Saccharomyces cerevisiae S288C: one gene and its partner. The protein of the gene in region 2 purifies or fractionates together with the protein of the main gene of each other region. This does not show direct contact. Each region holds a gene or a part of one and is shown on either strand. Other genes may lie near its edges.

Region 1 (3,934 bases), on a different chromosome or scaffold from region 2:
TATATATAGAAAATTTGTTCAGGATTAATCCCAAACAATTATGATAAAACAACCCGCTAGTGTGACACAGTTACAGTACGTATTCTTATTTACATTGTTTATTTGCGTGGAATGCGCAATTCCCTTTGCAGTGAGTTGCTCTTATGCTGCCTTTTTTTTAATATAGACGATTTATGGGCGTAAAGCTTCTCGTTCAGTGCAATTCAAATATTTCTCGATGAAGTACTTTTTAAATTCCTTATTATAACCTACAGCGCCCGTATTCTTAAGCGCGTGATTTCTCTCACTATTTTTGAGAGCCCTAATAATTTGTAGTTGGTATTTATGACTTAGTTTGATCTTATATGTATCTATCATATGAGCCATCATAGTGTAATTTCCTTGAAGTGCAAAAGACAGTATAAATTTCTCCACGAATTCGCTGGGCACGTTTTGTCCATATATTGGGCTCACTATATTGAAAACAGTGGATAGATTTCCGGAGTTGATCATTGGATCTTTAGTAAATGTTAATACTTTTTTGATAAAAATAGGTAAGGTGCTATCCACAGCCCGTTTTGCGTTATTGGATTTTCGAATAATATTTAGCAGAGAACACAATTCGTCGAAATGCCGGCACATAGGTATCAAAAATTTGAACAGGTCTATTGTTCCATAATTTTCTATTATGGGTGCAAGATCTGCTATGAATGCAAATTTGGATCTTATATCAAAAATCTTAGTGCTTTTATCGAAATGAACATCAATTGCCTCCAAATATCTATTAATGATAGTAGCCTCTGGTAAAATACCCTTTTTTATTAAATGGCCCAAAAAATTTTTGCTTTCATTCAAATTGCCGGTTTTAATGAAATATGATAATAGTTGTTCAATTACTATTGGGTGCAATGAATTTTCGCAACGCCCTGGAAAAAATCTGTTGTTGATCGCTGCCAATAGGTTTTCTAGTGCGGTAACCAATGTGGGACTGTACGGTGGGTTTTCATTTGCTTCCACTTTACAAAGGATATTATATAAAATAATGTTCATGGCCTTCATTTGGTCTAAACGTGAATATAATTGCATCTCAGTAACATTTATTAGTAGTATAAGTTTTTCAGTCGAGTTTCCATAATTCTTTATCAAATAAGCCAGTATATTCTCGCAAAATAATCTTGTCTGTTTACTGTCGCGGTCAAAAATATTCTGTAGTTCATTATTTACGGACTCGACCCTGGATTGCAAATCATTCGTGTTTTCAATCTCTGATAATATATTTTCAAGACCTCTTAATTTGGCAATATCGGTTGAAGACAAATGCAGAACGTGAAAAGATCTAACGCTTTTGCTCGCAGGTGTAAGTACAATATTTCTTTGATGTTGTCGTCTTGCAACGAATTCCATCAACCATTTATTCACTCCCCTAATATCATCAAACTTTAATTTGCTATCAACTAGTATGGTTTTTAGGCTCACCGGGTGTTTTATCAGTGATGGAGCAATTTTTTTGCCATCAAGCAGGCTAGGATTGTATTCCGTAGCGCATGCCGTGAATTGTTCTATTGCTGTTGGTTGGTAAAATGGGTGAATTATTTCTTCCGGATGAGGAACTTTATCGGCATGTTTAATGATCTTTCGACCGTCCGCTACTAAAGGAGTCTTTTTAAGTACTGGGTACCATTTGCGAGATTGCATCCTAATGAAGCACAGGTTTCTCCATTTGCTGATTTCTTGCACTGTAGTAATCATTTTCTAAGACCCTTAACAGATAGTGATGGAGGAAGAAAAAAATGTACAAATATTTGGAAGCCGATTGGCAAACCGATGTAACGTGCAAAATGACACATGATGTTACTTATTCAATGAACCCTCTATATGTCACTTCTGGAGCAATCAGACTATCTGTATGTGTTGGAGCCACTTCATATTCTGAGCTATTGCCGTTCTGTTTACTCTGGTAAATGTCGGAAATTGAGTACTGTTCCATTGAGCACGCATGCGCAATTGACTGTTGCGATTCATATTTTTTGACTGACACAACTCTTCTCATGACCCACAGCATGGAACAACAAAGTGCTACGCTAATAGTAGCGGCTAGCATTAGCCAGCCGGGCCAGTCCAGTTTGGAGATGAACAGAAGAATATCTACCAAAAAACATAAAAGACATAGCATGAACGTTGGCAGCGAAAAAAGGGCCGTGAACAATAACATCTCAGGTGAGTCCCCTAGTGGAGTTACCATGATAATCACTGCTAAAATTAATAGCGTTCCTGTGAATGCCAGTGAAATCGGGTGAACCACTAATAAATTGGAGACGACCACTTTTGAGTTCGATGGCAGGGTCAAAACGTGCCCGGAGGAGTCGACATCTGTACTGTCATATCCTATCTTCATTTTCGTGCACATCAATTCTTGGTTTTGACCACGTACACACCAGCCAAACAGGCCATAATAGTGGTTTCTGAATGACGATAACGATAGGTACTTGGTCACGGGGACGGTTATTAGCGGAAGTATTTCGAACATGGTTGTGATTGCTAGCAAAAACACCACAATATGGATCATGCTAACCATTCTCCTCTTTTCCTCAATGAATCTGTCTCAACCGTATAAATCTTTGTTTAGAAGGACGTCTCTACTCATTTCCCGGTTCTCAACGCTCATCACTATCTATCTATATTCATTGTTTCTTAGCTTATACTTGCGCGCGCCGCTGGTGAAAATCAAACTATAGCGAGATTCGACAATAAATTGGCAGTTACTTTTAGTGATAAAGAAAAGTCATGTTTTGTATATAGTCATAGCATGCTGTGTTGTAAATGTGATCTGTCTGAGACGTGTCAGTAGATCATAAATTTACAAACATTAAAATACATTTTTCATCGCTGTATAGCAAAAGTAATCTTATACTTTGTTGGTATGCTGAAGTAAAACACAGGGCTCTTGGCTTCACCCCCACGCTGTATCATAGAATAAAGAGAGTAGTGATGCAATAGGGCCGTGGTTAGACCCAAATTGAAGGTAGCGTTGATAGTAGTACTAAGTGAGAGTGCTTAGCAATCATTATTGACGGTGTTTTCTTGGCGAAGGTCTTTTTCTACTGCGATGGACAGGTAGGATGACTCACTGCGTAATTCGTTGCCAACTTCTTTAGTCGTCGAGTATATAAAAGCCTCATCCTCGGCTCGCCGCACAAAGGTGACGATTTTTGGGCTAGTATCAGCAATACTTCTATTCCCTTTATTTAAAGAAGTCCAAAATTCAACATAGCATGAGAATATCATCAACATTGCTTCAACGCTCGAAGCAGCTTATAGATAAGTATGCATTATACGTGCCCAAGACGGGCTCTTTTCCTAAAGGATTTGAAGTAGGCTACACTGCATCTGGAGTCAAAAAAAACGGGAGCCTGGACCTGGGTGTAATCTTGAATACCAATAAATCTCGTCCTTCAACCGCAGCAGCTGTTTTCACGACCAATAAATTCAAAGCTGCGCCAGTTTTGACATCGAAAAAAGTCCTTGAAACTGCTCGTGGTAAAAACATCAACGCTATTGTAGTCAATTCCGGTTGTGCTAACTCGGTCACAGGTGATCTTGGTATGAAAGATGCCCAAGTAATGATTGATTTGGTTAACGATAAAATTGGTCAAAAAAATTCTACCCTAGTCATGTCTACAGGCGTTATTGGACAACGACTACAGATGGACAAGATCAGCACTGGTATCAATAAAATTTTTGGAGAAGAAAAGTTCGGCAGTGATTTTAACTCTTGGTTGAACGTAGCCAAATCAATCTGTACTACTGATACTTTCCCAAAATTAGTTACATCTAGATTCAAATTACCTAGTGGTACTGAGTATACTTTGACAGGTATGGCAAAGGGCGCGGGTATGATTTGTCCGAATATGGCTACCTTATTAGGTTTCATAGTTACAGATCTTCCTATTGAAAG
Region 2 (3,934 bases):
TTCCCAAGTTGTTTTATCCATAGTTCTGCCATTTTTGGTAGCACCTTTAATTTTCTTCACATGTAAAAAATCAATCATGAAAACCGAAATTACCGTCGACCATACTGAAGAAGATAGCCATAACCATCAAAATAACAACGATAGATCTGCAGGTAGCGTAATCGAGCAAGATGGTTCTAGTGGCATGGAGATAGAAAATGGAAAAGATGTCAAAATCGTTTATATGGCAAACAATTGGATTATCACTGTTATTGCTATAATTGTGTGGCTTTTCTTATCTTTACTGAACGTTTATGCCATTGTTCAATTAGGCATGTCTCATGGTGATATCAGTTAATGTCTGCCTCTTACATTCTTGCGCACAATAACATTAAGATTATTTGTAAGCTTTATGACAGCTGTACTTCAAGTAGAGCTTGTGATTATACATTCTAGCATAGTGAAAAAAAAATAATAACTATTCGAAACTAATACACGTACATGTATATATATATTATAAATTGCTTATGCTTATTTAATAGAAGGGTTGTTGAATTATACAAGAAAACTTTTCTCTAGTTTTCTACACTTTTCTTTTTTTTTACCTATTATATGGATGGTAGCCATTATTACGTCTATTGTATCCACCGCGACCACCACGGCCGTTTCTTCTATGGTTTCCACCACTACGGTGATTGTAATCGCGGTCACGATCGTTACGATCACGATCACCGCGATCACGGTTGTAGCCATAACCGCTATTGTGGTCATCATTGTATTGTGATGGGCCCTTTGGACCATTAGGTAAATTCAATGGCGGTGAACCAGAGTCAGTGTTTGATGTATTACCAATAGTTTGGACGTCATTGGATTTATTATTATCGGAATCAGAAGGTGCTGGGGAACCTTGAGTGGCATTTGAATCTTGCTGTGGTTGGTTTAAAGTCATTGCATTAGGTGGCATGGCAAACCCTGGCATCATCATTGCCATTTGCTGCATTTGTTGTTGGTACATTTGAGTATAATCCATACCAGTTTGCTTTTGCATTTGTTGGTAATATTCTTGCATCTTTTGATAGTAATCTGTCATTGCTTGCGGATTCATCATTGGGTTGTAACCGCCCATCATAGGGTTTTGATACATTTGGTTGAAATCGCCTTGGTTACCGAAGTTACCGCCACGACGATTCATGTTGTTTCCACCATTGTTACCACCATTGTTTGATGATTTTTGTTGCATATGTCTTGGCTCAGCTCTCTTGATTTCGATCTTGCGATCTTTGAAATCGATGAATTTATTCTGACAAACTCTGTCAACGGCGTCAGCGGAGTCATACGTCACAAAACCAAAACCTCTTGATTGACCGGTATCCTTATCTAACATCAGTTGCGCATCGATAATCGTACCCCACTGAGAAAAAAATTCTTCAAATTCCTTTGGTCTCACATCAGGACCAATACCACCAACAAAGATTTTACCGGTTTTATCTTGCTCGTCTCTTGGGATAGCTCTTTTTGGGTCGATAACTTTACCATCGAGGATATGTTGTGTCTTTACCACTTCATCAACACTAGAAGGTTTTTCAAAAGATAAGAAACCGAACCCTCTAGATCTACCTGTTGCAGGGTCTTTCATGATTTTCAAATCAGTGACGGTACCATACTTACCAAAATATTCGCGAAGATTATCTTCCGTAGTGTCCCAATTCAGACCACCAATGAACATCTTGCAACTTTCTTTAGACAAATCCGCTTTCGAACGTTCCTCTTTGGTTTGAGTTACTTGCTGTTGAGGTGGTGATTGAGAAGATGGTTGCTGGAATTGTGACATGGTTTGTTGAAGTTGTTCCCAAGGTAAGCCAGAAGGTCCTGCAGAACTAGCGTTGGCATTGGCATTTGCTGATGTAGCGCTTTCTTGTTTTTTTTCATTCTTAGTGTCTTCATTGGAACCTTCCTTGTCATTCGCAGTGCCATCTTGCTTACTAGAAGATGTGTCTTGGTTACTATTATTACTACTACTGTTGTTACTATTTGGATTATTTAGTTTGTTCAAGCTAGAAGATAATGCTTGTAGTGCGGCTAGTTGATCTAATTGCGAGGTACCACTGCCAGCCTTATTTTGTTCTTCTTCTTTTTTGACTTCTTCAGTAGTGGTAGGCTTATCATCGCCGTAGATGTCGTTGAAATCTTCTTCGTCAGAGCTCATTGCTTATTTAACTTATTCTCTATTTTCTCAGACTTGTGTATACTGCTAAAGTTCTTTATAAATAAAATATTTGCGTCTTTTATGAAAAGATTGTAATATAAACAGTAATATTAATACAGAATAAAAAAGGGCCAATTGTTTGTATTATGCACGCTTTTTCAATTTCTTGTTTATTGAGTATACCTTTTCTGTCCGTATTTTTTCTTTTTGTTTCTTTCGCAAAAAAGGTTAGAAAGAAATCTAGTAAGGTATGAGATTTTAGTTATTAAACACTAAAAAGTAAAAGATACACGTAAAAAATTTATAACAGTATATTGTACTAATACTTGACTATCTGCAAAATTAAATAACTAGTCGAAACTGTTCAATCCTTTGTTTTTAATTACAGTGGCGGAAAGGAGAGAGCGGAAGAAAATTTAAGAGCGCCTGGGCGTGTGGAAAGCATGCGCCTTTTATACTTTTTTTGCTTTGTCCAACAAGAAATCTCGGCGCTGCTCGTAGGGAGGGGCTGCAAGAAAAAAAATAAATAAAAAAAAGAAAGTATTTCCGGGTAAGATTAAAAATGCATTCGATTTAGCCGCCCAGTATTTCGCAAGATCTTCCAAGGTTATAGATGTTTAGAAGAGAAAGAAGTTGGGATCCTTAAGAGCATGTTTCTTTTTCCACGCATCTACATTAGGATTTACTCTTTGTTTTTCAACTTCTGCGCAAGATCTTCAAGAACAAATCGAAGAGATAAAAAAATTGATATTTATAGTCAATAGGTTTTCGATAGCATGACCCTCCGGACTTTTGATGGATAGATAAAGCGAAATTTAGAGGGTTTTTGATCTTCTTCCTTGCAGCAACCTATATTTCTTAGTATTTTGTATATCAATAGCCTCCATAATGTTATCTATAGCTATTAGTACTTTAAGAGACTTTTATTACCCGTATTTTGGATTCTTTTCCGAAGAAAAAAGAAATGTTTACGTTGTGGGAAAAGTGAAAAAAATCGATGATTATGGGCATCGAGGTCTTAATACCCGTAATATGGAGATGAAATAGCATAACTAAACACATTGTATATAAGGTAAAAACGGCAGCATGAAGAAATATCTGCTGTATATGGTACAAGTTCATTTGAACTTTAGAAGAGCAGAACTGGAATCGTTAGCAGACCTATATAATCTTTCCATAGACTTTTCGCAGTACGATGCCAATAGCCCTTTCTTTATTGTAGAGCTGGAAAATGATCAGCAAGCAAAGGATTGGATTAAGAGGTCTATTTTAACCAGAGGTATTTATGAGTATTGGGGGCAGGGTACAACGCTCGATGAGCTGCATAAAGATATTCAGCGTCAGTCTAACTTTGAACAGGATCTGCAATTGAAATTCAAACATTCCACTTTTAAGTTCGAATTCGAATGCTATAAAGGCAACAGTAAAGCTAAGAGGGTAGAGCAGATTGAAACTTTCCGTTACCTTGGCTTTGAAGGAAAGATTGATATGAAACATCCTCAAGAGGTTTTCACTGTTATAGAAGAGTACACACCAATATCGGAAAACGTTGGTGGTAAGACCCCCACCAGGATTTATTTTGGTAGGCAGGTTCAGATGAGCAATAGGAGTGCCATGGAGAAATATGATTTGAAGAAAAGACCTTATAAAGGTACAACTAGCTTCGAAGCAGAATTATCGTTGGTCAGCGCCAATATAGCTCAAGTGAAACCGGGAACTATAATGTACGACCCGTTTGCAGGTACAGGA

What was found.
Region 1: the proteins of HRP1 (region 2) and AEP1 purify together in Saccharomyces cerevisiae (affinity purification with mass spectrometry, with the first as the bait; 2 studies listed by BioGRID). This does not show direct contact.

Annotation. Positions count from the first base shown.
Region 1 is NC_001145.3:395,697-399,630, reverse strand, and holds AEP1 (Aep1p), read right to left. Parts: upstream 1,729-3,934; coding exon 172-1,728; downstream 1-171. Other genes in the region: RIM9 (Rim9p), read right to left, coding at 1,835-2,554; ARG7 (glutamate N-acetyltransferase), read left to right, coding at 3,252-3,934. UniProt on the Saccharomyces cerevisiae protein: Required for translation of the mitochondrial OLI1 transcript encoding subunit 9 of mitochondrial ATP synthase.
Region 2 is NC_001147.6:86,095-90,028, reverse strand, and holds HRP1 (Hrp1p), read right to left. Parts: upstream 2,186-3,934; coding exon 581-2,185; downstream 1-580. Other genes in the region: divalent metal ion transporter SMF1, read left to right, coding at 1-337; TRM11 (tRNA (guanine-N2-)-methyltransferase), read left to right, coding at 3,272-3,934. UniProt on the Saccharomyces cerevisiae protein: RNA-binding protein, which is involved in the polyadenylation-dependent pre-mRNA 3'-end formation and cooperates with the cleavage factor CFIA complex and the cleavage and polyadenylation factor (CPF) complex.